Bombyx mori: one gene and its partners. The protein of the gene in region 6 purifies or fractionates together with the protein of the main gene of each other region. This does not show direct contact. Links are inferred from orthologs where the notes say so. Each region holds a gene or a part of one and is shown on either strand. Other genes may lie near its edges.

Region 1 (5,038 bases), on a different chromosome or scaffold from region 6:
AATGTCCTTTGAATTTATAGTTATTGCATGATTTATAAATCAATACGAACCCAATAAGGTGCCGATAACTCTGTGAGAATCTGCATTTCGACGTTCGTATGCGTCCACAATTTGAAATAAAACAACAGGATGGACCTTCACACTAATATTGAGAGCCATTTTTAATTCGACCAAAACTACAAACCCAGAAACACAGAGTACAAGAGAATATTGTAGGTATTATCTCTGCTAATTTTAATTTTTTTAGGGATTTTATGAACTGGTAATTAAGACCTTTAAGTCATGTCTTATTTTTATGAAAAATGATAATATGGAGTGAAATGAAATAAAATGAAGATGATTAATTTGAGACATTAGGGTCAATTCCCACTGAAAGAGCAGCGGCGCGCAGCGGCCGTAAGAGCAAGTGATTGAGCGCGGCGCCGCAAGGGGCAGTGTGGCGCCGCGCGGGGCAGTGCGGCGCCGCGAGAGGCAGCGCGGCATCCCGAGGCGCCGCAATGAACCTCCGCGTAGTAGCTTTGAAAACTAGTGTGCGATCTACTTCACTCAAGGAAAGTTGTGTGGCAATAAATATGGTGGATTTGGATTTATGTATCATAGCACTGGCTGTAGAAGAAGAACAAGAAGTAACAAACAAAACGGAAAGAAAAAGGAAAAGAAAATTTTGGGTACATTTTTTTCTCACGGAGCGTAGCACGTTCTAACTTGATACCCTCTAATAAAATGACGCGAAATGCGTAAGCGGCAGGGCGGGCGGGTATGAAATGGTCGCTCGCGCGCAGCCGCGAGTCTGTTAGCTGCACCGCGGTCGGCCGCACGTCAGCTAGCTGCGCCGCGATCAGCCGCGCGGCGCCTCTTTTGACTAGTCGGTAGAAGGCTCGTGCAGCCTCGCGACGTCACGCTACCCCTCCTTTGCCTTCAAATGACTATGAACTTTTTAATCACGTAGATAAGATTCAAAATAGTTTGTAATATTTTGCCTAAAAAAGACGCTGCCGGCCGCTGCTCTTTCAGTGGGAATTGACCCTAATCAACTAGAATGAAATTAAATGAAATGAGATGATATGGGATCTTAGTAAAATGGTGGTCATTTACTGAGATTTGTGAAAGAAAAGGCGTTGTTAGCTGACAGTTATTTAATGAAAGGAATTCACAAGTTGAGCTGTCGTTATATTGGACACAGTTTTCGTTGTTGATGACATTTCCACAGCCAGGCTGCAGTGACGGCGCGGCCCTTGATTCGCGGCGCGGCGCCGTCGTCGCACACCACGTAATCTACGCGGCTGTCCTCATCCAGCTGAGACTTCTGAAAAATGTACATTTGTTTAAAATTAGGAAAATATGTATATTTATCCAATCATAGAGGAAATGTGACAATCATGAAATTTTTTAACTATTTTGAATTAATATAAATTTATATAAATATAAATATAAGAATATAAATTTATTGCTCTTGTAGGCAGACGAGTATACGGCCCATCTGATGGTGAGTGGTTCCCGTCATCCATGGACTTCAGCAATGCCAGGAGCAGAGCCAAGCCGCTGCCTATCGTTAAGTACTCTCTACAAGCCTCGTTTGAAGAAGGGCATGTCATATTGTTGTGCCTGCAGCACGAGCGACCTGCAGCACGCGCCCCCCGTAGGCCCGCAGGTAGCGCCAGCAGCGCGCCCGCAGTTGTGTGTCCCCGGCCTCCACCGCGAACGTTACTCCCTCAAAGAACGCCGGCAGCGACTTGCTGTCGTCTATCTGGAAACAATACTTAATATTTAAAAAAAAAGTAATTTTTTTTTTTTTTTTATTGCTTAGATGTGTGGACGAGCTCTATTACTAACTAATCCGTTAGTAATAGAGTGTACGTGCCGCGTGCTCGGCGCCGCTGTCGGCCCCAGCGTCGGTCTCGTCCGAGTCCGACTCGACCGCGAGCGACGCCTTGACTCGTTCGTCGCACACGAACTGCACGTCGGGCTCGCCGCTGCCCCCCCTCGACCCTGTCGCGCCGGCGGGGGGGCTCGGCGCCCGGCCGCGGTCCCGCACTTCCTCGTCGGTGTCCGCTGACTCGTCAGTTTCTGGACGACAAGTAATTGGTCAAAATTACGTTTTAATTACATTTTTGCCTAATTTGTAGGCAGCAGCTTGGCTCTGCCCCTGGCATTGCTGAAGTCCACGGGCGACGGTAACCACTCACCATCAGGTGGGCCGTATGCTGGTCTGCCTACAAAGGAAATAAAAAATAATAATAATAATTAATTTTGTATTGTGGTTTAAAAATATTGGTAGCGGCGTCCGTCTGTTCTTATTAATGAATGAGCAATCGAACTGTCGGCGTGGTGCGTGAACCTGCAGCGTGTGGTGGTGCGGTGCGCTGGTGCGGCTCCGTGGCGTAGGGGCGCCAGGGCACGCGGCGGCGCGCGCGGCGGCACGCTCGCAGCCAGTCCGCGCGCACGGCGGGCACGGCGCCGCCCGCCACGCGCCGCACCTCCTGCAGCTTCGGCGTGTTGGGGAACGCGCATCTGCCGGCGACACGACGCTGTACTCCACGTGGCACAACGGACATTACAACATGTCGGGAGGTCGGAGGGCACGTACATGAGATGCGTGCAGGCGGGCCCCCAGACGGGCTCCCAGCGCGCCCCCAGCGCGACCCCCTCGCGGCGCAACTCTTGGCGGAGCGGGTTCTGGTAGCCGCTCAGCACGAAGCGCACGCCGCGCAGCACGTCCGCTGCGACACACGCGACTGTAACATATACTAATGACACCAGCGGTCAGGTGTGGAGTGTAGCGGCCCGGGCGACTCACCGAGCTGTCCCCGGGGGGCGGGCGCGGTCCCGGCGCTGTCGTCTCGCTTCACCCGCTTTGCTCTCGATGATATATTGTCTATATTTTTCTGGACTTCTTTCTGTGATCACACAATATGGACATCAGTATCACCCCTGATGACTAATACAGTATAATAGGATAAGCCTTATTTGTCTGTTCGTCACCGCAAGCCGTGAGCCGGGTCGTCGAAAGGCGACTTACGGACACTGGGTACCGCCGTCTTGCCTATATCCGTATTCCAGTTTATAAACGAGAAGGCTATTATACAATACAATTGACATTTCGACCTCACGTCTCAGGCAACATTCGCGTTGTGAAGTCAACGGGTTGTTCACCGCGGGTTGGCCCGTCCTTCAACCAAATATATATTCCCGGCAACAACGCGACAGGCGTTCCGCGCCGCTTCCGCCGCTCCTGCATCTGGTGGACAAATCTAGCTCACCGGGTCCCCCGCGCTATTGTCATCGGTCATCTTGTCACCCTTATGTCTATTAACGGTTTGGTCTATTTTTGCATGGTGTCTGGTGTCCTCTTCATCGTGCATCCGAGCGTCCCCGTCGCTGTCGGAGCGGCGCCGCCCGGCCGGCCTGTTCTGTTTGCTCTGTCGGAGTGTGGCCGCCGCGCTGAGGCCGGGGGAGGCGGCGGGGGAGTCCCCGGGAACGTTGCGGAGCGCGCGGGACGTCGCCTTGTGTATTTGGGATTCTGAAAATTGTATTCTGTATGAAAGCTGCGAGACGTACCCGCAGTTAAGCACTCGTCTAAAGTTTAAACGGAAATAATATTAAGTTAAATAAAATTTATATTGTAAATAAATAAAATTATAGAGCAACCCCGGGGCAAACACCGACGTGCCGCGGCCCCCGGGTGCCGGCGCCGGCCGGGGCAGCCCGGGGCGACAAGCCGTTCTACTGAACCGTGTTTGAACTTCGTTTCCTAACTGACTAATATTAGGTATTCATTTATAAACATTATATCCAAGAACATGAAAATTGTGGTTCAGAATTGGCAGCTGTTGAATTATCGACCTTATTGACAACACCGCTCAGTTTAAAACCTATTTACCTGTACTCGCCGGGCTGCTAGTTTTATCGTCCCCCAGTTTCAGCGGACTATCCTTCTGGGTGTAGTATTTAGCGAATAATTCCCCAGGTTTGAACTCTTCCTCGTCCGACGAGAAGGTGTCCAGGGCGAGGGGGCGCGGCGGCGCGGGCGGGGGTCCGTCCCCGGGCTCGTCGATGTGCAAGAACGAGAGGCCGAACTGAAAGGTTATATTAGTTTGAAGCCATGAACAGTTTTATAAAAATGAATATGTACTCTTATGAATATCATCAATAGCATCTCTGCCAGGTCTCGCGAATCGAAGACACAGCAAAACTATTTTTATATCCTAATGTAACAATTTTAATTCATCCTCATCAGCCTGCGGCAGTCCACTGCTGGACATAGGCCTCCCCCAAAACTCGCCACTGAACCCGATATTCGGTTCTACGCATCCAGTTACTGCCAGCTGCCTTGCGCAGGTCGTCACTTTATCTAGCAGGAGGACGTCCTACCCTACGTTATTTTAATGATGTTTAAAAAATTTAATTATGTTTTACTATTAGCGATCCTCATGACCGCGGGTTTTAGTAGTGTTTAATACTTATTATATATTACTTATAAAATATTAGTTAGATAGATAGTTATTAGGGCAACCGGGGCGCATGGTACCTGGCAGTGCCTGTTGTAGGGCTGCGCGCACACGACCCGCAGGCGGTCCCAGCGGCGCCCCCGGGCCGCGGCCGCCAGCTGGTCGCCGCGCCACGCCCGCACGCGCTGCACGCCCTCGGCGCGCCGGGACTCGCTGGGCGACAACATCACGCTGCTGGGGACCAGTACCTGAGCATGTCTCTCCGGTCACTCCACTGTCAATATCTATGTTTGAAAGCGACGGGCAGCAGAAGCAGCCGGGTGCCGGGATATGCCCTACATGATCCCTTGAGTTTTTCAATCCTATTTTTATTCTTATATAAAATTATAGACCCTGTTATTCATGGTGAAGACATTTGTTGACATCTTCAGATATGATGATAACCAGAGTAAAGCTACATTTTTGAATGTAACCTTTTTAGTGATTCCAAAGTACACTATTATTTTAGAAGCCTCCATATTTGAAACTGTTCCCTCCTAAGCATCCTAGATATTCATCAATTACAAGACCCCTAATGCAAAGTTCCCTAA
Region 2 (4,906 bases), on a different chromosome or scaffold from region 6:
TGAACTTGTATTACAATGACTGCTGCTTATTTTGAATGCATTCAAGAAATAAATTAGTCCATTGATTACCTATTTTTACTGGGGGTAGGACCTCTTGTGTGTAGGCAGATACCACCACTCAGCCTATTTCTGCCGCGAAGCAGTAATGCGTTTCGGTTTGAAGGGTGGGGCAGCTGTTATAACTAGACTGAGACCTTAGAACTCATATCTCAAGTTGGTGTCGGCATTTACGTTGTAGATGTCTATGGGCTCCGGTAACCACATAATAGCAGTTGGTCTGTGAGATCGTCCACCCATACATGCAATAAAAAAAAAATACCTTGCACTTAGTGCCATCGGAGAGAGTAACCGATATGTTGGGTAGATCTCTCCAGTCGGAGCCCGGTGTTGTAGGTATCCTGCTGATCCTAGCTTGAATCAATGGCGCCATGTTTTTACAGATGTGATCTCGTAGTTTAGAATTCTCATCGTTGCTTCGCACTAATCTCTGGAAATGACTTTCTGGCATGGAGCCATATTCGATTTCTATTTTATTAGCACCATTACATATTTGAGGCAAATCACTCATGGCGTCTTGAATGGTGCACGTTCTTTTTGGAGCCGACTCGTCCCAGTGAATATTAGTCGAGAACCTTTTGCCGTCAATCGTCGTTGTTAATGTACAAGCACGTCTACTGAAGACGTGCGTGGGTTCTGGGTAGAACGGAAGATTGTAACCCGGCGCTGCCGCCAATATGATCAACCTTCGTCTAGTTTGGGGAACTCCGTAGTTACCCGCTTGTAAGATACCAAAGGTACACTGGTATCCCATGTCCAACAAAGCTCGCAGAGTGAGTTTCAAAACCATACCTTTTTTAAAGGCCACAAAGTTACGAACGTTTTCCAGTATAAAATATTTAGGTCTGTAATAATCACAAAACGATAAATACGATGCAACTAATGAGTTTTTGAAGTTTGAATACTCTCTTGAATTAAAACGATTCATTCCGGAGAAGCCTTGACATGGTGGCCCGCCACATAAAAGCTCCACTTCTCCTTGCATGGGGAGCCGCAGTCCATTCGCGCTGTGCTTAGCACCAGACATTACAGTTTTCAAAAGTGCATTACAGTCTTCATTAAATACAATACAACTTTTATTATTTAATGAATAAGCATGAGAAGCAGCTTCCACGTTTTCAATAGCCCACTTGCATTCTGCAACTCCAGCTTGATGCAAGCCTTCTGATAGGCCCCCACAACCGGCAAACACGTCTAAAGTTCGCAACGGTCTAATTTTCTCCTCTACAACTTTAGCGGGAACCGTTTCAATAGTTTTTGTAGATTTTCCCTTCCCCTTCCCTTTATCTTTAGTACGATCTGTTCTTCCAACACTGATGGCATTCTGCGGGAGATCCGTGAACTCTCCCGTGGACTTACAATACGCCATTCTGAAGTAGAATCTGCACGGATCATTTCCTAACCATTCTTGAAGTGAAATATTTTGGGGAACATTTTGTTCATAAATTAAATGACAATGCCCAACGACGGTCGAAAATGGAATCTCCCTTATTTCAGTTGTCCAATATAAAACATTAGTGTCCTCGTGCTGCGGAAATTTACTGCTCGTGTTTTCAGGTCTAAGCAGCACATTCACTTTCAGGTAAATATCTTGCGGTACAACTAGAGGTCCCTCACTCGCGGCAGTGACGGCAGCTATGTAACCCACACAAAAAGGTTCCCCGGTATCAATATTAGACCCACGCGTATTAGAATCGTTCTTCCTATAATATTCAGGATAAATAGTTTCATCGACTTTTTCAAACCGCGGTTTGGCAACAGTGTTCGCTTTTGTCATACTATTTTTTAGTTTAAAGGTTCCCGGTTTTAGGAAAACACCACAACCCTTCTTATAGTCAAAGTCTTGCCATTTTACATATGACCATTCCGACCTGTTTTGTTCTGAAACAATTTCGGATTTCACAATCAATTTTTCAAAAACTTTAGGAATGTTTCTTGCATCTCGTTTTGTTTTACGTTCACAAGATGGGCAGAATCTGTGCTTTCTTAAAGCATTTGGACACGCTGGATCTGGAGGTAAATCTTCAAAACGCGACGTGAACCTGTCGTAATACTTGCTATAAAAATAAGTTCTTCCATCATCCTCGAAATGTTCGTCGTCTACTTCTTTCCCGCCAAGTTTAAACCAATCTGCTGACGTCTCTTTCCTTTCTATATTCGCTTTTCTTAATATGGAAGAAAGCGGAGCACCATGGCAACATCTGTCGCCCAAAAATACTTCTCTTGGGTCACTCACTTCTCCTAAAACTGTGTCCGAGGCTCGTATGAAGACTTCTCCGTGAAAATAGCCTGATTTCGGGTTATGGATTTCTTTCCACATGTATACAACTTTAGCGACCAGTGTAGGAATGTTTGTTTGGGAAGTTTCAATCATGACAAAGTCACCATTACACAGCTCAGCACCATCAATTTCAACTTTTTCGTAATATATTTTTGTGGCATCAGCTTTAACAGGCTCACCAATCCATTTTAAATTTTTACTATTTGACCCAGTGAGCTTGACTGGTACTGCATCATCTATTTTGTCTTGTTTTTTCTCAGATATTTGCTGATACTCATCTTCATCATCGGGATCAGAATCTTCTGCCTGTTCTACTGCCATATTAGGACATAATCTACGGACGCATGCTTTCTTAGTTCTTCCATGACCACCGAATTTAGCCATGGCACGACATGCATTACATTCGCCGCAATCAGGCAATTGACAGGCTTCACAAACCCCGCATCGTTTTCTTCGTAAGACCAGTTCGTGATTGGTTTTGTCTAACTGATTTGAGAAAAAACTTTCAAATGTTTTTCTTACAAGTGGAGTTGTTGTAGCTTTTGTCCATGCTTTCTTATCTGTTTTTTTGTATTGTATCTGGGTACGTATTTTTCGTTTACCGAATTTTATGCCCATTAATTTGATAAGTTCTCTCATACAAGGTAATGTTATTAATGGTTCATCATCTTCCTCTATTTCTAAGCTAACTACTTGATCACAAACAAACTGGGCATGTTTATGTAGCATTTCTTCTGTCATCTTTTTATTATTTAGTTCAGGAATGGAAAAATCTCTTACAACTTCAAGTAAATCTTCATAGCTCGGTTGCAAGTAGTGATATTCTTCTAAGAATTCGACGACTACTTTGCTAAGCCATATTTTTTCATATAAATTATTCATTAGGGGCGTATAAGCTTCACTAGGTTTGAGCAAGTTATATTCCCCAAATTCCGTTGATAAAGTTATACAGTTCCTATCTCCACCATCGAAACCATGTATGAACCTGATGGTATGTAAATTAGAAGATTAATAATTCACAAAAAATAACAAACAAACAAAAAGATTTTTTTTATGTGGTCATGATAAGTGAGATACATACCATTCTATTATAGGACCTACATCTTTAACTGGAATGGATTCTTCGTCAATCTCTGATGAATCAGAGCAAATTGACTTTAAATATCCAGACATATAAATTCGAACATCGTTTTCTACCAAACCACCATCAATTGGACACAAATGTCCTTGCTCATCAAATATTGTAAAGCCAGTTATATTTGTTTGGGGTCGTTCCATTATGTCTCCATCTTCCCCTTGAATAAGTACATTACAATATAATTAAATTACAATATAATATAACAAATGTTCACGATTGACTTCCACGGTGAAGGAATAACATCGTGTAATGAAAATGAAACCCGCAAAATTATAATTTGCGTAATTACTGGTGGTAGGACCTCTTGTGAGTCCGCGCGGGTGGGTACCACCCCCTGCCCATTTCTGCCGTGAAGCAGTAATGCGTTTCGGTTTGAAGGGTGGGGCAGCCGTCGTAACTATACTTGAGACCTTAGAACTTATATCTCAAGGTGGGTGGCGCATTTACGTTGTGGATGTCTATGGGCTCCAGTAACCACTTAACACCAGGTGGGCTGTGAGCTCGACCACGCATCTAAGCAATAAAAAAATTAAAATTTAGACAGCTACTGCATATCTAGATTTTTCTCCCTAGTAGCTCCTCTACAGAGATAACTGTCATTTGTTCTGTAACTCTGCAGTGGAGCCCAATGCTATTAGCATGATTTTTGTGATTTTAAAGTAATGAAAGATATTGTGGAAGACAATATATACAATACAAGTAATTCTAAAAGTATACCACCAAAGAAACAATGAATGGGAAATATTGAACGTGATAATGAAGATTTGCTGGAAGAAAAGTTCCTACAAATTCTTTGCACCCAATGCAATATTTTAAATAATTTATCATAAACAAAGAAAAGTCAGAATGCACAAGGGCGATGTTTCCAAAGACATCACATCATTGTGAATTACAAAATTTAAAATGTATCTTTCATTTACATGAAGTAAGTGTGTACATGTAAAATCAATAACATGTGTAAGCATGTGTAATTCTTCTCACTTAAAATAAGACTTCTTCTTCACAAACGTCTGACTGTGCTGTATCGGAGTTGCTGGTAGGCAGTGGTACAAAAATGTAGATATCACTAAAGGTTAATTGGGCCAAACTAATAATAATGGGTAACTTTTAAGCCAGTTAAATGGCAATAATAATAAATTACAAAATATGTCAAAGTAAGCACAATTATTATTAGCATATTTGGTGAATCATATAAAGGATCAAATAGACAAACAACAGAGCTTCAAGCTTTAGAGTTTAACTTTGAGATCAATCTTATTACTTTTGTAACATTGTGCAATATTCAGAATTTAAATTTAAGGGCTTTTTTATTGCTTAGACTGGTTATCAAGCTCATGGCCCACCGGACAGTAACTGAAGGTTACTGACTGGTAACCACTTAACATCAGGATGAACACTCAAATAGCGGAGTAAAAAAAAGCTGTTACATA
Region 3 (5,030 bases), on a different chromosome or scaffold from region 6:
AATTTCTTGATATTAAGCAACTGTGATCACCCTGGCCGCTAACTCTCTTTCGTCAACATAAATTAATGAAATAATACCTATTCATAGAGAAAACATTTATTTCGTACTTCGATTTAGCATACATGACTTTGTAGATTTGTGTGAAATATGCCGGACATATATTGTTTATTACTTTATTTAATTTCGGGTTCTCGTGCTATATGACGTCTCGCATTATCATGGAGCAATAATGGTGAAGATCGATTCATGAGGGCTGTTTCACTGCAAGTTTTGCTATAATTGTTCGGAGTTCGGCACAGTAGACATCGGCCGTTATTGCTTGATCAGATCGGTTTGGCTCGGATTCGCTTTCACCAACTCTTTCAATTCATTGTAATTCACATGTGTGGGCAGACTTCCACGTGGTTCGTTCTTCACATCAAAATTTCCATCACGAAAGCGTTTAAACCAAAATCGCAGGGTGCGTTCATTAGCAGTCCCCTCTCCAAACGCAACATTGATATTGCGATCTGTTTCTGCAGCGTTAGTTCCGCGTCGGAACTTGTATTCAACAATCACACGAATTTTCGAAGTATCCATCTTTCTTGTCTAAACTGAATAAAAAAATCTTCTAAAAGCTGATGATCGAATGCTGGACATTTTTAAAAAGAAGAACCTCATAGGTACTTTTTGAAAAAAAGTTTCACTAACTCTCAAACCATGAAGGTTCTATATCAATTCGAAGTAATTTCCTATTACAATAAAACGGCAACTTCATACATTAACCCTTATTATTATAAATCATCAATATTTGATATGAAAGCCAATCTGCACTCAATACAGCGCTAGAGTACCTATATTATGACTGTTTCAGGGTATGGAAGTGGATACAATCTCCTGAGTAAGGAAGAATCTGGACTTACCTATTTGCCAGCAGGAGTTGAAGGTGATTATTTTCAGAAGGAATACGAAGGCGATTAACATATTGAAAATAAATAAAGACATCGTTCCTAATGTCACTTTTTATTTAGGATAATCTCATTTCACAATTTTATGACATGGTAAAAATTTTATATTTACAAGATGAACATATAACACACTACAGAATTGTACCTTTCATAATCTTATATAGCTATTGCTTTTTGTTTTATAAAAATAAAGTAACCATTACATTTTATTTTATTTTACATGATTCACCACTGCAGTGTTTTCTAACATCATTTGCTTTTCGATACAATATTCTTTTAAATTAGCCTTAGTTAAGTTTTCTTCACTATTCACAATACCGAATAGTATTTTCACAAGCACATTCAACATTATTATTTATGCATTTGAACTTTAGTGAACTATGAGCCTCACTAATATTTACAATGTGTATTTACACATCACAATGACTTATTCACAACATTTTGTCATTCTTTATAAAAGTGACTAGCAACTTGTAATTTAATTATAAGAATTATTTTCAGATAATACTATCATTATGGCTAGCTAAATGTTATTTTGTAAATGAGAACAAATTTTTGACCAAGTTGCAAGTCTTACACAAAATCTTAAAACTAGAATTCCTTGAACTATCATATTAGTCTAAATAACCTAAAAAGGGATCGAGAACTAAGTCCAAACTAAATAAAATAATTAGAATCAGACTTCTAATTTAAAAAAGAAGGAACAATGTTCGGATTTTTTAATACATAAACTTTACTTGAACCTTAAATACATCATCACATAGTAAACTTTGTAAAATGTAAGTTCATAAAACTGATTTTATACATCATTTTGTATAATTGGGACGTTATATTCAACATATAAAAATAGAGCTGCTAATTATTCTAAAATTGAAACTAGAAGACATAGTCTGGCCCGGCCATGTCTATTGCCCATCGGAACTTATCCCTTTGCGTTTTGTTATATATTTTCTCAATTGGAACACCATGTTTCTTGCACCTGTAAATTAGATAGTTAATTTTATTATATAACTGGATTATAGCTTATCTGTACCCATGGTATTTTGCTGATAGATCAGTCTTTGTAACAAACATCTATTAGTTATTGGCATCACTCTGTGCAGCCTTCATGGGGTTAGGTGAGACAGCAGCTCATGTCCTACTTGAATGCAATTTAGTTGCAGAATATCAAATTACCTTGGCACGCCATGGTTGTCAGATACATTTAAGGGTGGCAGGAATGAAAGCAAAAGCAGAAAAGGCAGATGGTCACCTAGTAGCGAGAACCAGCGTAGTCTTTCCAGATATTCCACAGGTGAGAACCTGCCACCTGCTTGAGAGCTGAACCCTTCATTTAATTTTAATAGCATGCAACATTTCGAAATTATTGTGTTGGATGCTGTCATTATAGGCGCAAAAAATGTTATTTTGTTCATTTTTCTTACCATGCTACTGAAATCCGTGGATCCAAATAATTCAGTTTCGATGTTCCAAGGGCAATGGTTTTATTTTCATCTCTGTCTGTTTCCTGCAGTTCCAGTTTTTTAAGTTGGTCTTTGAGACGTTCAAGTGCCTTTTTCTTCTTATCACATGCTAATTTTTCTTTAACAGAACCTCGCTTTGCTGCTTTAGATGCTTGTTGAAGGTCTTCTTCAGCCTCATCAATTTGATCCCGTTTAGCTTGAATTTTTTCTTTTAAAGCCTCCATGGACTTAGAATGTCCTTAAATAAAATATGTGAATCACTTTAACAGTTTTTAAATAGTTATAAGAAATGGAATCAGTTTAATTGGGGATGTCATATCCAATTTATTTTACATAAGAAACAAATCATTTAAACAAAAGTTACACTTACCCTTAGGTACAGCACGTTGATGGTTGCACAAGATGGCAACTGCACGGTTTGCTCTATTGTAAGCTAAAATCTTCTCAGGCACAGAGGCATCACCATCAGTGAGCTCATCTAATTGTTTCTGTAGGGTAATAGAAGCATTGTATGTACGGAATACCTTGGCAGTCAAACCTGGCATCAAGTCTTTTAAATGTTCATTTAAAGTTTGTGTGTTAAGTCTGTCGAAGAGATCATCACTGTCCTTTTTATTCTCAATAAATATTTCGAGATTCTTAAATACACGTTTCTCTACTGGCACTTCATTGTAATATCTTATTGAATCTTTACCAAGGAAATCAAACACTACTACATATTCTTTACCGTCCTTTTCTTTGTGTAACTGGATATGTTCTACTCTTAATGAACAGCAACCAACAGTGTCAGCTTGTTCATCATCTTTTTCATTACCTGCTCTAAGTGCTAATCGATCAATGAAGTATAGTGCCACTGCTCTTTGGCGCACCTGCATCTCCTTTGCCTTCCAATCAGCACGGTAATTTTCTCTAATTTTGTCTATACACTTATGAAGTTTTCTAGCAGTCTCATATTTCTGCCAATCTTTTTCACCCTTCAATTTTGAACTGGGATTTAACATGACATACTTAGCTTGCTGCTGAACATTCTCTGTCCAAGAGGCTAACCATGTAACTGTATTATCATGTCTTACTTCTCTCCATTTATGTCCTGAAGGTGGTTTTGGTATTTTACTATCTTTTGAGCAATTGATTAAGACATCTTCAGGCATAACACGTCTCTTTAATTTCCCCATTTTTGGGTGCTCACCTCGACCTCTAAACAACCCTGGGGGTTCTATTCGGAAGTTCCCTATCTTCTCTTTATGACCATCTATTGTGCAAAATCCATATTCTTTTTGTATTTCTTCATTTTTGGCTTTTAAAGCAGCCTTTTCTTCTTTAGATCGATTTCTATTTTTTTCAGATACACTCTGAAAGTATGCATGCATCTCTTTGAAGTTACATTTGGACAAATCTTTAATAAGTTTAGCTTCTTCCGGAGTCATCACTTTCCGCCAGTCAGTTAAAAAATTGGTGTTGAAAACAGACTTGGTGGTATAATCATGTTCCAACATGCGTGCATAAAATCCTGCTACTTCTTCAGCATCTTCAGATAGTTTCAACTCTTTACCATCATAATAAAATTTGACATTGGAAGGCAAAGGTTCATAAGGTGGAGCAAACACAGGGCCTTTATGTTCCAAAAATGTCCATTTTGTTCCATCATCGGTCTTCTCTTCTTCCCACCTGTATTAAACATTAAAATATAAAGTGCACGCTAAAAATATAAAAAACTGACTGTTAATGGAAAGTCATTTAAAACCAACTTGCTTCTTGGAAATCGTCGCTTGTGTCTGGTAAAAACAGAACTTAATGATACTTTACGTAAAAATGGACTGTTATTCCACACAATAACACTCACAACTTTAAACATAATCCATAAAACCAATATAACCTCAAAAAAGAACATTCACAATTACATATCGAACTAAAAATGATTTGACGAATTTTATCCAGCTTAATTTGATCACTTATGTTTCGAATTATTTAAAATGTTTGAGGGGTAGCCTCTATCAACGTCAAATGCTATCAAGATGTTATGTGACAAATTATTTCTGACAATGCTTGAATTAGGTTGGATATGTCACGCCATCTATTGGTAGAAATTAGATATGAAGTGTCACTAAAGCAGTTACTTCACAGAGTTTAAGATTAAATATTTAATGTTAAAAAAGTTCTACTGAGCAATCTGAAGTCACAACAAATTAAAGTTTGCCTTGTGATATTATTGGTTTTAAAAGTAGACAAAACATTGGATAATTTGGCAATGTCAGACTATAAATAATCGTTTACAATATTTTAATGAGCAAAAAATAGCCTTTAATTACCATTTCCAGACTTGTTCTGTTTCTGTGTCTTGTTTTTTCTTCCGTTTATTGGGACTGATACCATCATCTATGGGCTCAGATTTCACCTTAACTGATTTAGTTTTTTCAGAACTCTTCTTTTTCTTTTTAGGTTTTTCATCTTCTTCATAATCATCATAATCTTCATAAGTCTCTTCTGTAAACATTTCCAAAAGGTTCAAAAAGCTGTTTATAATTAATTTCTAGAATAATGTTAAGACTTTTACCTTTTTTTACTTTTTTCTTAGATTTCTTTCTTTGTAGTAATGGAATGTCTTCTTCACCATCACTAA
Region 4 (5,476 bases), on a different chromosome or scaffold from region 6:
AACAAAAAATTGGTACAAAATATTTATTACATAAAAGTTTTAAAAAATGAAATATATAACTTTTAAAATGCATCAGTTGCTCTAAAATGCTCTTCATCAATTGTTGAGTAGATATGACCTTCTCCACACATCCATTCCAAAATGTTTCTGCAAGTAATCATAAAAAAATTAAAACCCTTTAATTTTTCTATACTTAATTTTAAATTTTTATATTATACTAGCTGACCCAGCAGACTTTGTAGTGCCTCAATCGATAAATAAAAGACCTAAACTTTTGTATAAAAGAAACTTAAAACAAAAAAAAGGAATTCGTCCGACAAGGGACACATCAAAGTAAAAACAAAATTGTTATTTTTATTTAATTTTGAGGATTTTCATATTTATCTACCTTTTAAGCCTTCTCTGGACTTCCACAAATAATTCAAGACCAAAATTAGACAAATCGGACCAGCCGTTCTTGAGTTTTAGCGAGACTAACGAACAGCAAATAATTTATATATAGATAGATAGAAGATAGATTTAATCTTTTTGTATGTGTGTTTGTCACTAAACTCCTAAGAAAAGGGGCTGATTGTGATGATTTATTTAAAATCTAACTGCTTTATTTTTTTCCTTTCAACTCTATTTTTAAGTTATCATTTACTATCAGTTATCAGTTATAATTTATTGGGGTAAAAATGTTTGAATTAAAATTTAGTATGTTGATTAAAAAATACATACTCAAATTCAACTTTTGTCATTCGATCTTTCAGTGAGGCATACATATCTTGTTTACTAATTCCTTGTTCAACAGTAGAGCCACGGATAAGGTTGAAGACCATCATCTGACGAGAATTTAAGCCATTCACTGAAGAGGTTTCAGTAATTCCAACCATTGAATTTGCAGGCAGCATGTTGTTAATTGGGACATCTTGAATATTTTTTTCCTGCAAAATAAAATCCAATTTATGAAGTAATGTATAGCAAAAAACATGTAGGCGGAAGCACCATTCATGATGGGACATAATAATCCACAGCAATGATGCAACTCAAATGCACTAGCAAGAGCTGAATGATAACTAAATTTGTAGTTCTGTCTTTATCAGAATAAAGGGTTCAAGTTTGAAAATAGTAGATTATTATTTTAAAATAAAACTGAAAAAAAGGAGAAGCATGTTGGATGTGCTGAAATTCATTTTATATGAAAATTGAAATGGTAAGTCATTGCTGATGAAGAAGACATCATTTACATTGCTGAAGAATCAATAACAAATAATACTATACTATGACATATTTTTATGTACTGTACTGTAATAAAAATATCTGACAATTATTATCAACTCTTTTTGTTACATACAAGAACTAAATATTTCAAATACAAAATTCATGTGTATTAAGCTAAATGTTGCTTAAACCAAATAGTCTTTAACCCCTCAAAATATTGTGTTATAAGTAGTTACTTCTGCCTTTAGCTATGGTGAATGGAAATGCGAATAATAAATTTTAAGATTACCAGGTATATTAGAATTACCTTCTTTGAGCCAGCTTCCATTTGTATTTTATTATGAATGCACTGAAAGTAGTGAAATGTAATAATGTTGACATCAGTAACTGGCATTATCTTAAATGCCATGAGCACTTTTGTCCCTTTATTCGTTTTCACATTGCCGTAAATTTGTATGTAATCATTTACTTGAACTTTAGGTGATGAGGTATCCTGAAATTGAAGCTCAGAAAGATTTAATATCTGTTTTTTTTTATGTAAAATACTCAATATCTAAAGAATCAAAATGGCATATACTTAAATATTCAAAAAGCACAGAATAAGTTTAATAACTTAATCTGACTTTGAGATTTTTTTATTTTTTTTATTACCATGATTGTGGACATGATTAATGGATTAACTCATTTTAATTAATGATTTCGTTTACATTGACATTACTCTGAAACTGGAAGTAACTTTCACTTACTTCAACTTCCATAGCCTCTTGGTCGAGCCAGAGTACAGCCCTCATCCTCCCTGTTATATCTTGGATTGTATATGTTATTTTAGTGCTTTGCATTCTAATGCTCCTGATTCTTGCAACTATTGACACTATTTGAATTTCTGTACCCCATATTTTCACACCTTCTTCTCCAGAATGCAAAGCTTGCCTGATGACTATAGGTGCTGTCCGTGCCGCTCTACGACCCTGTGAATAAATGTATTATTAATATATTAAATTTTCGTAATCAATTGAATTTTATTTTTTTGTAAACTTACAGTTTTTTTGGGTGTTGCCGTATTTCCAAATTGATTTGTGGTGTTAAGGAAGCCACCTCCAGAAGGATCATCTGAATGTAACAAATTCTAATTAATACAGAAAAAACTATAAAGATAACCATGTAAATGATAAAACAACAAACCATTCCACATTGTTTTAAAGTAGAGGTCAAAATTGTTAGTTGAAGACTATTCTAGTAACAGCAGTAGTACAATGCACTAAACAATTCCGAACCGATCTTAATAGAAAAGGTAGTATGGTTTAATTTTTTTAGTTTTGATTCTTATTCCTGTAAACTTTTTTCAAGCGAGTAAGCCACTATAGTCGGATTTTTAATTAGACGAAGCTAGCTGACAGTAGCTAATGTCACTTTGTGAAATAATGTTGCTATATTTAAAGTAATAGTGATGCGTTCAGTTCTCGTTCAATCACGAATGAACAATGAGTGTGAAGAGTTAATCATTAATTTCAAACTATAAAAGAGTACTATTTATATTTTACAATAAAATTGTATTAAAGTGCTCCAATATATGTTGCTAGTAGTATGTAACTACAATCAGCTTTTTTATTTTCATTACTTACCTATAATTGTTATATTTTATACATCTATAATTTCAACTATATGATGTATTGGAAATAGGACAGTCTTACAAGTACTTCCTCGCAATGTTTTTCTTAATGTTTAAAACACTCGGTATTCAGTACAGGTAGATATTATAGGAACATAATATTTCGTCGAAAACTCGTTGGTATGTACAAAGCACGCCTAAAATTCGAACCCCGTACCCGATATCGGCAATTCGGCACACCAACTGTTCACTAGACAATCGAGGCAATTTCATTAATTCAGGAGTTTTTTCAATCGTTCACTTTGTCACAACACTATTTTTATTTCATCAAAAACTGACAACACAGTAAACGTCAGTTGACTTCGTCTAATAAAAAATCCGACTATAGGTTCACATATTTTATCTTCCAAAAGATGATGATTTATTTTGTTTCAGTAACTTTTAACAGTTTTAACCAAAATGTCCCTTTGGAGTTTGGCCAGACAGAAGTCTCAATTAATTCCCGCCATTTTATAGATTTTTTTGAATTTGTTTAGTGGATAGGCGAAGGGAATCTAGCCGAGAATATAATAAATATTAAATATTCTTTAATTCACTATCTAACATATTCAATTACAAGTAACATTACAAGTACAAGTGATATTGTCTGAGAGTGTAAAGGCGCCATATGTGCCGCTCCCTGTATCTGGCCTCCAGTCACCTCCTTGAGTTGGTCCACCCATCTAGCTGGCGCTCTTCCTCTAGCGCGCTTTCCCTCTATTTGTCCGAGAATTATGAGTTTCTCCAGGCTGTGCAATGAGGATCGCATTATGTGCCCAAAAAAACTCCGGATCCATTCCTGGCACATAGTCAGCAGGCGCTTGGTGACCTTCAGCTCTTCGAGGATGGAGACATTGGTTCTCATAGCTGTCCAAGGAATGCGTAGCAGCTTTCTCCAGCAATACATTTCAAAGGCCTCGATCTTTTTGCGTTCCTTTTTCCTGAGACACCAAGTCTCCACCCCATACAGGAAGATAGAGAAGACCAACGTACGAACCAAACGCATCTTAGTTACTCGGCGAATATTACGGTCTTTCCAGATTTTATTGAGGCTAGTCATGGCACTTTTAGCCATCCCGATACGGCGTCCGATTTCTTTCTCGCAGTTACCACTGTTAGAGATCAGCGACCCCAAGTATATAAATTCCTCCACTTTCTCATAATCCTTGAGCGCATTTGATGGACTTAAAACTTGAGCTCTGTCCACCGTCATCGCTTTGGTCTTAGAGCGGTTTATGTGCAGGCCAAATTCAAGGCTAACTCTCTCTATTCGCTCCAAGATCGCAGCCATCTCGGACTCGCTGGCTGCAAGGATTGTTGTATCATCGGCATATCTTAGATAAGATACACCACTATTTTAACTAATGTCCCTAAGAATAATATCCACTGACCTTACTTACTTTCTATTAAGGCCAAAGGCTTTGTTTGGCTTTGTTAATGAGTTCTGCAGATGATAAAATGAGAATCATAAAAATATGGATTAAAACAAGATATTTAGACATTACCCAGCCATTACCATTATTATTATAATTTAAATAGGTGGCACTATAATTCATTTAAGACTCTCTAAGATGAACATTGAAAAATACCAAATTATGATTAAGATTTATTGAGTGGCAAATAAACTTAGGGCTCACCTGCCGGTCATCGTTCTCCGTCGAATCCGCTGCTTGCGCACTGCTCTTGCCAGGGTTAGTGTTAGCAACGTCATTATGTTTGAGCCCCGTGAGCTCACCTACTTGTTAGGGTTATGCTGAAATAGCCTCTCAAGACTATCAGCTTAGGTAGGAAAAAAAGCCTCACCTGAAAGTTTTTTTTAACATTTTTTTTATTGCGTATTTGGGTGGACGAGCTCATAGCCCACCTAGTGTTTAGTGGTTACCGGAGCCTATAGACTTTTATAACGTAAATGCCGCCACCCAACTTTAGTTAAGAGTTCTAAGGTCTCAGTATGGTTATAACGGCTGCCCCACGCTTCAAACCGAAACGCATTACTGCTTCAGGGTTGAAATAGGCAGGGTGGTGGTACCTACCCGTGCGGACTCACAAGAGGTCCTACCACCAGTAAAGGTCTGTACTTTTTTGGTTTCTGTAACGGTCAGATAAAACTTTCTTTATATTTTACTGCATTTTCAGGCCTATTCCTGTCACGAAGCAATCATGCGAAGCTGTCATTTAACAACTATTTGAGACTTAGACCTCGAGTGCTAAAGTGGCGATATTCACATTATTGTGATATCTACAGGTTCCAACTGGGCCTTGAGTTCGGTCCCCATCTAAACAGGATCTTTTGCAAAAATATATCAAGTTACTTTTATCCGTTAATTTAGTGTTTACTCAGATTTACAAGTATAATCATAGCAGCTTATTAATCACATAATATCATAAAAGGGCGAAACAAAACAAAATCGCTATACGTGCGTTTCGGGTTTTTCCAAAAGTGTCACTAAGATTTCACTATTCTCAGTAAATTACCACCGTTTTTTCATTTCATTCACCTATGGTTTTGTTTTGTATCACCTCATTTAATTCCATTTCATCACTTACTGACTTTTTTGCAACAGATATTTTATTTATGAAATATTTTCGCCTTTTGTTTTAAAACTTTGGTTCGTATGGGTTATA
Region 5 (5,691 bases), on a different chromosome or scaffold from region 6:
CATTGAAGAAAAGTTCAACATGAATAAATATGTTTACATATAATTTATAACACAATAATAGACCATAAACTTAGAAGTCGGTCATGAACAAAAACAGTCGGTTTGTTAAAATGATATCGTCATTTCCTTTTTACACGTGCCACAGAGTACATCCCTACTACTTGAAGTCAATGCATTCATTCGCCATGTATTTCTAGATGTAATTTCTACAATACCACCCGATTTTGTAAAAATTTTTAAGGGATTTTATGACCTGGTAACTGAGACCTTTAAGTCATGTCTTATTTTAATTTATATTCATATTTTTATGAAAAATGATATTATGGAGTGAAATGAAATGAAGATGATGAATTTGAGACATTAATCAACTGGGATGAAATTAAATGAAATGAAATGAGATGATATGGGATGAAATATAATCTCAGTAAAATGGTGGTAATTTACTAAGATTTTTTCAGTGGACTTTTTAGAGGATCCCGAGAAGTTACGTCCAGCGGCTTTATTTCATTTTCCCACATTTGTGCACTTTCACAGATATTAAACAGTTAATAAACCACCATTATTACACATTTAAACCTGAAGAAACACTAAATAGACAAAATAAAACAAATCACACAACTTCACTCTTCGCGTTCCCGCCAAAAAGTCCCCGATTTTGTAATAAGTTACGGTGTGGTTATTAAACATAATTTACTCCTCTGACATTGTTTATTAAGCAAAACGTTTCGAAGAAAAACTTTCTGTCCTGCCTAAATCTCACTATCCTACCTGTCTCGAGTAGTTATGTTTGCGGCATTAATTGTTTTGTTGAAATTTTTGCCGCGACGCAAAGGATGAAGTTGAGTTAACAGAAAACTTCAATTGTGTCAGCTCTGGTGAAATTGAAAACTTATGACGGAACGTTGTGTTATGAACTTCGGTGACCTTGAAGGATGACTGTCCAAGACTATTTCATCTCAGTCATCCACGCAAGAAGAAAAAAGTTGGATTAAATACTAAAGCCACCAAGTCTATGCAATGCTGTCATAAAATTAGTACCTACAAACTCAAAGTCACATAACCGCTATAAACATGATTGTACTACAATATCCGATAGGTGTAAATTACACGAATGTTTCATTCATAGTTTTATTCATTCACAAAACGTGTGTAACACCCGCGAAAAGTATCGGCGGTGTTGCCAAAATTACAAACTGAATCACGCAAAACAAACTTTGTTAACGTTTAGCGACCATTATAATTTTATAACGCCTCTGGGGTCGATCTCGGCCAAGGATCGAAAGAAAAAAAAATCCTTCCGCAAAGAATTTAGGAGTGTCCGAGACTCAGACCAAATCGGACTCGTTATAAATTTTGTGAAGATAACAATGCGTGCGTGTGGGTGTGTGGTACAGCGCTGACGAGTATAGTTACGGCACGCAATAACGCTAACAAGCGTGCGAGCGAGAAACATTTACATTTGTAGGGCGGCATCTCTATCTTGCCGTCGGCAACATGGCGCGCTGACTCGGGCGCAGGCTCGAATCGTATCGCCTGCCCACTCAAGGTTCGCTGACTGCCGTTCTTTTGTTTTTAATGTTGCCATAAAAAAGACAGGTTCCCAATTCTTGTGTGAATAAAAAACTTACCTTTTTTTTCATTAAGTAATATTTCAGCTCAAGAATATTGAGAAAATACAACGACATCGTAGTATGTTTCAGTATTTTAGAAAGAATGAAACAATCAAATGATAATTATATATAAGTTTCTCTTGAAATCCAAGAACCATTACTAGATTTCAAATATTTTAAGCACTCTCGCTTTTTATTAATAATAAATTTATGAGTAACGTTTTGCTTCACCTGTACTTCCGATCTTCGACATTTCATAAATTTTATTATGTGGTATTAACTTAGGTACTAAACGTTTTAAACGCTTTCTAATTTTTTTTTCTTTTTATTGATGCACAAAACAAATTACAACCATAGAAATAATAATTTTAAATGTTTTAAATGGCCTGAAGAATTGGTTAATATTACTTACCTACTTATTTCGTGACAATAACAATTAGTTTAAATTATAAACTACAATTATGTATTGAGCTCGATTATATTTAATTAATTATAGGAATGAAGCCTGTATTTACAGAACGGTGAGGAGAAGCGGTTCGGATTCCGGGAACCCTGGACCGCAGACGAAAACAGCGTCAAGCCGAGGACCTGCTCAAACCGAACGTCTGCATACCGATCGTTGGTTTTTTGTAAGCTTGAGTCGGTGCACACCGAGCTGTATCTGTGCGAGTGAGACGAGCCGAGTTGTGTGCGTGTCGGGCGCCTCGCCGCTCTCGCGTGCAGTGTACCCGCGACTCCCGGCCGGCCGCGGCCCGTTCGCGCTTCTCCGTCAAACTGACGCCGATAAACAAAATAATGACCAGTGTACCACATTACGTGCATCGCGAGTGCAATAAGCGACGACAGTGTGTGATAACGAGAATGTAACGTGCGTGTTGTGTCAAACGGATAGTGAAATATTTCAAATATTGGAGTTTTAGGCGCGTGGAGTGCGCCATGCTCGCAGTGTTTAGGTATGTGGAGACCGATTAATTATGGCCCATCAGTGTCGAAGGGGTCGGTGGCCTGCATTTTCGCTACCGGCTCTCGTTATTTTTGTAATCGGTGACAGATTTCGCGTGAGTCTAAGACCGCGGCGTGTGGCCGCTGGCGTGCTATTTACACGTTATGTTTTCGTTTACACGGTCGACCGTGAAATATTTTCTGTCCGCATCCGTTTGATTTTTTCGTATTTTACGTGCATCGGACTCAGTCCGCCGTCCGTTATCAGTTTCGTCGAAGTGTGTCGTGTAATTTACGAAGTAATTAATCTGTTATCGCCGCCGGTGTAGCGATGTGAGCGCGTGAGCATTGAACTTTGCATCTACTCGCGTTAGTTCTGTGGTCAAGTTTGAAAAATACCATGTTGCTGCTAACTATAGCAGTCAGTCTACGACTAAATCGTTATTTGTGACTTTTAATTCAATGTCGTAAACATATACTTAGATCTTAAAATCAAATTGTATGTAGATAACATAATAATACGAAATAAAAATGAAAAGTACTTACCTAATTAACATTCGTAACGCGAAAACTAGATTCCTATCTCGCATACAATATTGTTGATAAAACACATTATCATCTAGTAAACTCCCTTGTATTCTTTTATTATAAAAGTAAACAAATCAATTTCATAACAAAGACACATAGGTATACCCAGTGGTCACATATTATACGGTAAAAAATAAATAAATAAAAACATTTCCGTTAGATACCTATATTTTATACTCTATGGTCAGTTCGATTATAATTTTAGTCTTTACATACTTTTTCAGTTAAATACCTAATACACTTTTTAAATTATACTTATGTTCATAATACTATTGACTAAAGTAAGTACACCAAAACAAATAACAAAATACATATTTTTATTATTTTTTACCATTGGGTAACACTAAATAATCTATGGCACATCTTTTGCGTATATACCTGGATTTAATTTAGTATTACAATTATTATATATAACTACGAAACATACACTTCTTAGATACGTAATTATACTTCTTAGATACGTAATTATACTTACTTACTGAGAAAATTAACTCTTGCAATGAGTTTTTTCACGTAATGATTCATTGGCTACATTAACCACATTATTATGTTCATAGTTATATAAATAATTGGCCGTGATTATTGCGTTGATCTTAGGTATTGAAATTAACGTAAACAGACCGGAAAATAGTGTGAAAAATTACAAATAGTCGAGTTTTTATCGTGCTTAAACTCGACAAATGTTCACGATTGACTTCCACGGTGAAGGAATAACATCGTGTAATAAAAATCAAACCCGCAAAATTATAATTTGCGTAATTACTGGTGGTAGGACCTCTTGAGTCCGCGCGGATAGGTACCACCACCCTGCCTATTTCTGCCGTGAAGCAGTAATGCGTTTCGGTTTGAAGGGTGGGGCGGCCGTTGTAACTGTACTGAGAACCTTATATCTCAAGGTGGGTGGCGCATTTACGTTGTAGATGTCTATGGGCTCCAGTAACCACTCAACACCAGGTGGGCTGTGAGCTCGTCCACACATAGGCAATAAAAAAAATTTATTTAACAATACCGATGATTCGGTTCAACTAGCTACACTTATTCGAATAATCTTCATTTGAAAATTACAACATTTTAAACTAACGTTTTTTTTTTATTTATAAATAACGTGTTTGGAAATGCAAGTACGGATCTGAAAATGGCGGTTCGAAATGGCGCCATAGGCTTTTAAATACAGTGCAATATATTTCTACGTACTTTTTCCCGTCGGGAAGAGAACAGCGAGATTTCCGCGCTATTGAAATGTGTGTATGTTTTATTATTACAGAAGCTTAAACTTAACAATTTTGTTCGTAATATGTTCTCTGTTAGTATAGTATGTGTAAAAAAAATGGGAAAATATGTCAGATTTTCACCAAAAAAAAACCAAACTGTTACAATTCCGAAACAGGTAGAAAACATTCAACTAAAAACTTTATTGTTACAATTTTAATTAATTGAAAAAGTGCTTTTGGAATATTCTTATTAATACAGATAGAATATCAACATATTAAAGTCGGAAATTAACCTCATTTTAAACTACATACTTTAGTATGACAAATGGTCTAAATATTATTTTTGTCGTCGATAGACGTGCGTACGGCCCTCCCGATGGTACTATTTCAGTTGTGTTTTTTAATTTTTTCTGCCAATCGACAAAAAAATGTGCAAGTACAGAAAATAGTTACTTAAAGAGAAGAGCGTATTTTTTTAATTATGTGCATTTAAAATGTGCATAATCAAATACAAATTTTAGAAGTAATGGTGGAAGTTCATCTGTTAATTTCAATAAACTTTTCAATTAAATATATTTCGTAAAAAAATGCAAAATTATTGAATTGAATAAATAGCCTTTGATTTAACTAAACTACATTTGCAATCGAAAAAAACCTAAAAAAGGCATATTTGTAATACCTACTCGTATAAAAACGTCACGCGTCATTCCCGGTGCATCACCAAAAACATATTTCTACCAAAATAAAATGAATAAAAACCTTTTTGATCTGCGCACTATTTACCATAAAAACTCAAACGCTGACAAATATAGCGTGCTAGCAAAGCAATGTTTTGTTTAGCCAATATAGTCAACGGGTCTACCTGATGTTAATATCACATATGACCAGTTCTTGTTCTATTAATCTCTGAATATACAAAATATACATAAGAAAGTGCAGAAAATACAGAAGTAAAATGCAGAAAATGTTTACTTTTGATAGATTACTTAATTCATGACAAGCTGTCTTATGATTGAAGTGTAATAAATAATTCTTGAATTTCTTAATTCGGCAAAAGTTTCTAGTTTCACCAACATTGGGTCAAGGGCTGTGCTATCCTTCAAAACTGGAAATAAAAATTGGTTTGCGCCTCTAATAGACAGGTATATTGCCCGTGCGAGCTCTACCAATACCTAATATCAGAACTGAAGGCTTAGGAATTTGGGAGTTTGATAAGTAGCGCGTAGAACACGGGATAGCTTAACCTTACTCGTATTTTCTAATCAATAGTCGTATAGATTATTATCATTATAATATTGCTGCACATTGAGGTTGGTAAGAGAATGTTAACTATTAATATG
Region 6 (4,906 bases):
ATATTTTAATATAATTTCTATTAAAAAATACCAACTCACATCAACACCCCAATCGGCGATATTATATTCTTTCATTAACTCCAGGGATCTGGCTACAGTTCCGGTCTCAGGGTCAATCGAATTTAGAAAACTTTCATCTAGAACCTGTTAATAAAATTGTTATTATGCAGAGTCACTTTTATTATTTACATGAATTTTTGAAGAAATAAAAAACTGTCAAGAGATTTTTTAATTTTATATTCTAAAATCATGCACTCAATATTCCACTAGAACCGGCTTGCTGGGTTTATTTTGAAAAGTTAAATTATATTTGCAATATAAAGTAAAAACGAAAACAGAACTTTTGAATGACCTGTTATATACGCTGATAATGTTAACAACGGGTGAATTTAGATGTGATTTCAATATAGAATTAGCCTTATTGCAATACATTGTGTTAGCACAATAAAAGCACTTTAAATGTTCGTACTTACTACAATATCTAGATATTGTATGGATTGCATTTTAGAAGACATTTTCTCGACATCCGCTTTAGTAGAGATGACTGCGACCGTAGCTTCAGACAGTTTACTGACGGGGTCTCCTCCGAGCTTGATAATGCGATTCTTGATATTCTCCTTTTCATTCTTCTTCAATGTTCCGTAAATGAAGAATTTCAAGTTTTTCAAAGGCGGCACACGGATTTCTTTTTTTACTCTGAAAAAAAGTTATAAATTTTTCTTTCACTGATGCATACTTAGAGAGGCCTGTTAAAATGTTTTAATATTATAAAGGAAAAAGAACGCGTGGAAATTGGTCAATGTGACCTAATTTTGAATTTAATGACAGTATTTTCCGAGGCTTGACGAGTGCTCGTATCGAAGAAAATAAAAACGGTAAGCAAAACGTTGTAAAAGGAAATGAATACAAACGGGAGATTAATCGCAAATTCATTTAAATTAGTTCATTATTTTGGCTGACAGTATAACTATATATTCAACCTGCTTTTAACGTCACGATGCTTCTGCTTCAATTACGGATTTAATATGCAGTGTAGTAATGTATTAATGTAATTCATGAAGATAACTGATATATTTATGGAAATCAAGGAATTTAGAGGAATAAATAATTAATCGATGGCGGGCAAGTAGTGGCGCGACTAGAAGGTAGGTACCGTATTAAAAAAATTACGCAACGTGGTATAAATTTGATTTTAGCAACGAGTTTGTGTGATCAGTTATGTTAAATACACAACTAGCGACCCGTCCTCGCTACGCTTCGGAAACTGTAATTTATAATTGATTTCTCCACTATTTAATGGATGTTAATCTATCTTTCTTTTAAAAAAAACCGCATCAAAATCCGTTGCGTAATTTTAAAGATTTAAGCATACATAGGGATATAGGGACAGAGAAAGCGACTTTGTTTTATACTATGTAGTGATATAATGCGTTCAAAGCCCGGGTAAGAACATAAAGCACGGATGAACAATCTTTTATAAGGATTTTATTATGTAAAAAAATATTAATTTAAAAAACAACTAGGTACATAAATGCGAGAGTTGTGAATTGTAAACAATTGAAAGGGGGAGACCAATATTCAGCAGAGGGTGTCTGTGAGTTGAAAGAAAAAGAAAAAAGGTAGTTCTTACTCTGTCTCTTCTTGTTTCACAACAAAGTTTTGTGATGGAAGTGGAGCGTGGAACAAACGAGTGCGGACCGTGGGCTTAAACGAGCGGAAACAATCAAGCTCTTTGTATTTTTCTGGTATTTTCAGAGCCCTCCTCTTCGGTTTATCAGTTTGATAGGTACATTTGGTCCACTCGCTCAAATTACCTGATTGAAAAGACAGATTACTCTAAAAGTTTACTCCTGATTTATTATTTATTTTAACTTGTTATTTATTATTATTATATTGGAATAACAGTTATTTCAGAATTAGAATGTGTGTATATCTAATTTTTAAGGGGTTTATGTATACAGTTGTCTAACGTCAAAATTTTATTTACATTACATAGTATGATTCGAAAGGGTATACCTATATGAGCATTTCTCAAAATAAATGCACCACCAATAAAATAATGTACAAAAATAAAAATGTTAAACTAAAGCATTTTTTTTGTTTTCATTTGTAGATAGGTGTCTATAGATTTTGAATATGAGGTTTGTTCTGAGGTTTAATATGTAATAAAGTAGAGAAATGTGTACAAATATACCAAGGGCGGAGAAATATTCTTATTTTGTTACCGTCTATCAATTACGTTAATTAAAACACCAAATCAATTTCGTCAACTTTTATGCATTTCAATAGGGTGACATAACCATCATTTTACGTGTCTATAAAAAACTGTTAACATTTACAGCAAAATGTTACTTATATAAGTTGTAATATATCCTTTACGTTACCATTTCCCCACAACTTTGTTTTAAAATCACAGTAAAGAAGTTTTGATGTTGTTTTATTTTTAAATACGTTCACAAATGAAATAACAATACACTTCTGTTGCTTTTTTAAAAAAAATTGCAGGTTTTAAGATAATAAATAAAAAATTTGAAAAGAAATACGTGTCCGCTTTTATGGGACAGTAACAAAAATGGAATACTGGTAACAAACTAGGATTTTATAAGGCTAGTTTTCGAAGTAGTTCAAATTATAATAAACTTTGACCCGTGTTAAAAATAATTATAATTATATTTACATATGTAGATTATAGCATGAACTGCTGTCAAAGGACATTTAAACATTTTTCGTTTAAAAAATACCCCATTCAAATATTTAGGAACATTTACGAGTAGGTAACAAAAATATCGTTTCAGTTATTTTTTAATCATAATGAAACGGAGGCCTAACGGTTTCTAATTCAGTAAAAACCTTTAATAGCAATAATCACATTCATCGGCTGGATAGTGATCGTATAAATTATAATCACATCTTTGGCACCAGAAAAATGGACAACGTAATAATATGTTTATTTCTACAGCGTTCATACTTGATACAAAATGCAGCGGATTGTTAGACGAATCTGGAATAACATATCGGTGCCTTGATAAAATGTGTCGAAGAAAAAGGCCATGATAGGCCAAGGTGTAAACACAGGCACGCCACTTTTGTCTTTGTTTATTTTTTTCGTCTTCTGACATCTCACTTACTGATTTATATAAATATTTAGATTTTATCCTTTCTATGTTTCGTATTCGCTGCTCCTCCATCTTTTGTGGATTTTCTTTAAGGCTTTCGCGGTAGCGCCTCATTTTTTCAGCAGAGGTTAGAGTCGAACCCGTCGCTTGGCGAACGAAGGGCTCGACGAGCGAATTAACCCCATAGACACAGCCCACTGAGTTTCTCGCCGGATCTTCTCAGTGGGTCGCGTTTCCGATCCGGTGGTAGGTTCTGCGAAGCACTGCTCTTGCTAGGGTCAGTGTTAGCAACTCTCCGGTTGAGCCCCGTGAGCTCACCTACAAACGTTAGGGTGAAGCTGAAATAGCCTCTCAAGGCTATCAGCATAGGTAGGAAAAAAAAAGTGTTAGTGTAAAAGAACCCTTTTTTTACGTTACCCAGAACAACAGATATTTTGAAATTTAGCCCACCACATCAGAAGGAATATCATGCAGTAGTTCTCTCTTTACTATGATCGCACTTTTAGATTAAAACAAGCAGATATTTAAAAGCCGCATTTGTTTTTAAATAAACTAATCAAACTGATAGAAAAATACTAACAAAAAACTCCCAATCTATTTCATAGTACAAATCTGTAATAGTACAACAAAAAAACAAAGAAATTGACGCCGTTGTAATTGCAATAATTATTATTTGCAAACAGAAAGTTAAATAATAATAATAATATATTATATATACTCAGCCTAATGATTTCCTATTTTGTTACTCTCTTTTCCATTTATACGTTACCACACAAAAGTAACAAAAAAAGAAGTAACAAATCAAGAACAACATGTCATTTTATTTGTAAACACATGCAACTCACACGATTACTCTTATTTCGATTTGATTAACGAAATCAAGAATGGGAGCTTTAATAGTAGGTTAAGTGAAATAACAATAAAATCTGCACTTATCTATGTTTTATGAGTAACAAAGGTGGAATTTTGTTCTGACCGCTAGCTTAAATATTGACTTTTACCGTTCGTACCGGCACCAGAAAGAACTAGTCGAAATTAAAACAAGACGGATGCCAAGCCGGCTAATGCTACCATTATTCTAAAATATAATTGCATTAATCGATTCTCATATTTCTTCAGCATTATGGTAACAAAAACTGGAATTTCTAGGTGGAACTTTTTACGGGACAAGTTAAAATCATTAATTAGAAATTTAATTATACTTAAAGTAATGCTAAAAAGGATGTTTTAGGATGAATTGTGACTTATGGCTATAAATAAATAATATTTTTTATTTATACAATGCCCATGTCCATTCAACTAAAGATCGATGGTTTGGTAAGATATTGAGATTAGGACACTGCACTTTTCATACAACTGGTTGAAGCTGATTTATGATACATATATATTTTTAATGAAAAAATCTCATTGTATTTATATCTGTTATTTTTCCTTTCTAATAAGTAGAGTAGTTATACTGCTTACACAATTTATAAAAAGTAGTAATGAACTAATATATTAGCCGGAACAAAATATTAAAAAAATGGGACAGAGGCTAAAGTCTATTGTGCAATAATTTTGAGAAATGCTCATATATGTGTTCAAGTGTATGCGAAATTTTAACCGGTATTTTATGAGAGTTGTGGTACTGCATTCAGGTTGGATGTATATGGACTCAGGTAACACACTAAACACAAGGTAGGTAAGAAAATAGAGATAAAAAAAGAAAAAACAAAGATACCTGTGCATTTATAGCCAAGGGTATCTAAAACTAACTGCCCTTGTTTACATTCAGGACAGGCCTCGAGAGC

The links.
Region 1: the proteins of poly [ADP-ribose] polymerase (region 6) and DNA repair protein XRCC1 purify together in Homo sapiens (affinity purification with western blotting; 9 studies listed by BioGRID and IntAct, with this or other methods). This does not show direct contact. The link is inferred for Bombyx mori from reciprocal best matches to the Homo sapiens genes PARP1 and XRCC1.
Region 2: the proteins of poly [ADP-ribose] polymerase (region 6) and Dnmt1 purify together in Homo sapiens (affinity purification with western blotting; 4 studies listed by BioGRID and IntAct, with this or other methods). This does not show direct contact. The link is inferred for Bombyx mori from reciprocal best matches to the Homo sapiens genes PARP1 and DNMT1.
Region 3: the proteins of poly [ADP-ribose] polymerase (region 6) and DNA topoisomerase I, mitochondrial purify together in Homo sapiens (affinity purification with mass spectrometry; 4 studies listed by BioGRID and IntAct, with this or other methods). This does not show direct contact. The link is inferred for Bombyx mori from reciprocal best matches to the Homo sapiens genes PARP1 and TOP1.
Region 4: the proteins of poly [ADP-ribose] polymerase (region 6) and Rpa2 purify together in Homo sapiens (affinity purification with mass spectrometry; 3 studies listed by BioGRID and IntAct, counting the BioPlex papers as one, with this or other methods). This does not show direct contact. The link is inferred for Bombyx mori from reciprocal best matches to the Homo sapiens genes PARP1 and RPA2.
Region 5: the proteins of poly [ADP-ribose] polymerase (region 6) and protein pangolin, isoforms A/H/I/S purify together in Homo sapiens (affinity purification with mass spectrometry; 3 studies listed by BioGRID and IntAct, with this or other methods). This does not show direct contact. The link is inferred for Bombyx mori from reciprocal best matches to the Homo sapiens genes PARP1 and TCF7L2.

What each region holds. Positions count from the first base shown.
Region 1 is NC_085124.1:493,451-498,488, forward strand, and holds the end of DNA repair protein XRCC1, read right to left. Parts: intron 4,697-5,038; coding exon 4,529-4,696; intron 4,077-4,528; coding exon 3,881-4,076; intron 3,521-3,880; coding exon 3,261-3,520; intron 2,898-3,260; coding exon 2,798-2,897; intron 2,736-2,797; coding exon 2,588-2,735; intron 2,512-2,587; coding exon 2,339-2,511; intron 2,068-2,338; coding exon 1,862-2,067; intron 1,748-1,861; coding exon 1,622-1,747; exon of another isoform or gene 1,616-1,621; intron 1,307-1,615; coding exon 1,169-1,306; 3' UTR 1,119-1,168; downstream 1-1,118. Other genes in the region: eukaryotic translation initiation factor 3 subunit F, read right to left, coding at 51-159. UniProt on the Homo sapiens protein: Scaffold protein involved in DNA single-strand break repair by mediating the assembly of DNA break repair protein complexes. Negatively regulates ADP-ribosyltransferase activity of PARP1 during base-excision repair in order to prevent excessive PARP1 activity.
Region 2 is NC_085114.1:6,734,766-6,739,671, forward strand, and holds part of Dnmt1 (DNA cytosine-5 methyltransferase), read right to left. Parts: intron 3,634-4,906; coding exon 3,420-3,633; intron 3,324-3,419; coding exon 320-3,323; intron 1-319. UniProt on the Homo sapiens protein: Methylates CpG residues. Preferentially methylates hemimethylated DNA. Associates with DNA replication sites in S phase maintaining the methylation pattern in the newly synthesized strand, that is essential for epigenetic inheritance.
Region 3 is NC_085110.1:12,994,957-12,999,986, forward strand, and holds the end of DNA topoisomerase I, mitochondrial, read right to left. Parts: coding exon 4,965-5,030; intron 4,895-4,964; coding exon 4,720-4,894; intron 4,549-4,719; exon of another isoform or gene 4,302-4,548; coding exon of another isoform or gene 4,159-4,301; intron 4,079-4,158; coding exon 2,781-4,078; intron 2,649-2,780; coding exon 2,372-2,648; intron 1,927-2,371; coding exon 1,824-1,926; 3' UTR 987-1,823; downstream 1-986. Other genes in the region: ATPase WRNIP1, read left to right, coding at 854-960. UniProt on the Homo sapiens protein: Releases the supercoiling and torsional tension of DNA introduced during the DNA replication and transcription by transiently cleaving and rejoining one strand of the DNA duplex.
Region 4 is NC_085114.1:7,171,830-7,177,305, reverse strand, and holds Rpa2 (replication protein A2), read right to left. Parts: upstream 3,335-5,476; 5' UTR 3,199-3,334; intron 2,564-3,198; 5' UTR 2,396-2,563; coding exon 2,386-2,395; intron 2,314-2,385; coding exon 2,243-2,313; intron 2,172-2,242; coding exon 1,950-2,171; intron 1,697-1,949; coding exon 1,511-1,696; intron 927-1,510; coding exon 721-926; intron 148-720; coding exon 63-147; 3' UTR 31-62; downstream 1-30. UniProt on the Homo sapiens protein: As part of the heterotrimeric replication protein A complex (RPA/RP-A), binds and stabilizes single-stranded DNA intermediates that form during DNA replication or upon DNA stress.
Region 5 is NC_085133.1:3,888,373-3,894,063, forward strand, and holds the start of protein pangolin, isoforms A/H/I/S, read left to right. Parts: upstream 1-1,928; 5' UTR 1,929-2,563; intron 2,564-5,691. UniProt on the Homo sapiens protein: Participates in the Wnt signaling pathway and modulates MYC expression by binding to its promoter in a sequence-specific manner. Acts as a repressor in the absence of CTNNB1, and as activator in its presence.
Region 6 is NC_085128.1:12,950,232-12,955,137, reverse strand, and holds part of poly [ADP-ribose] polymerase, read right to left. Parts: coding exon 4,837-4,906; intron 1,815-4,836; coding exon 1,631-1,814; intron 697-1,630; coding exon 474-696; intron 145-473; coding exon 40-144; intron 1-39. UniProt on the Homo sapiens protein: Poly-ADP-ribosyltransferase that mediates poly-ADP-ribosylation of proteins and plays a key role in DNA repair.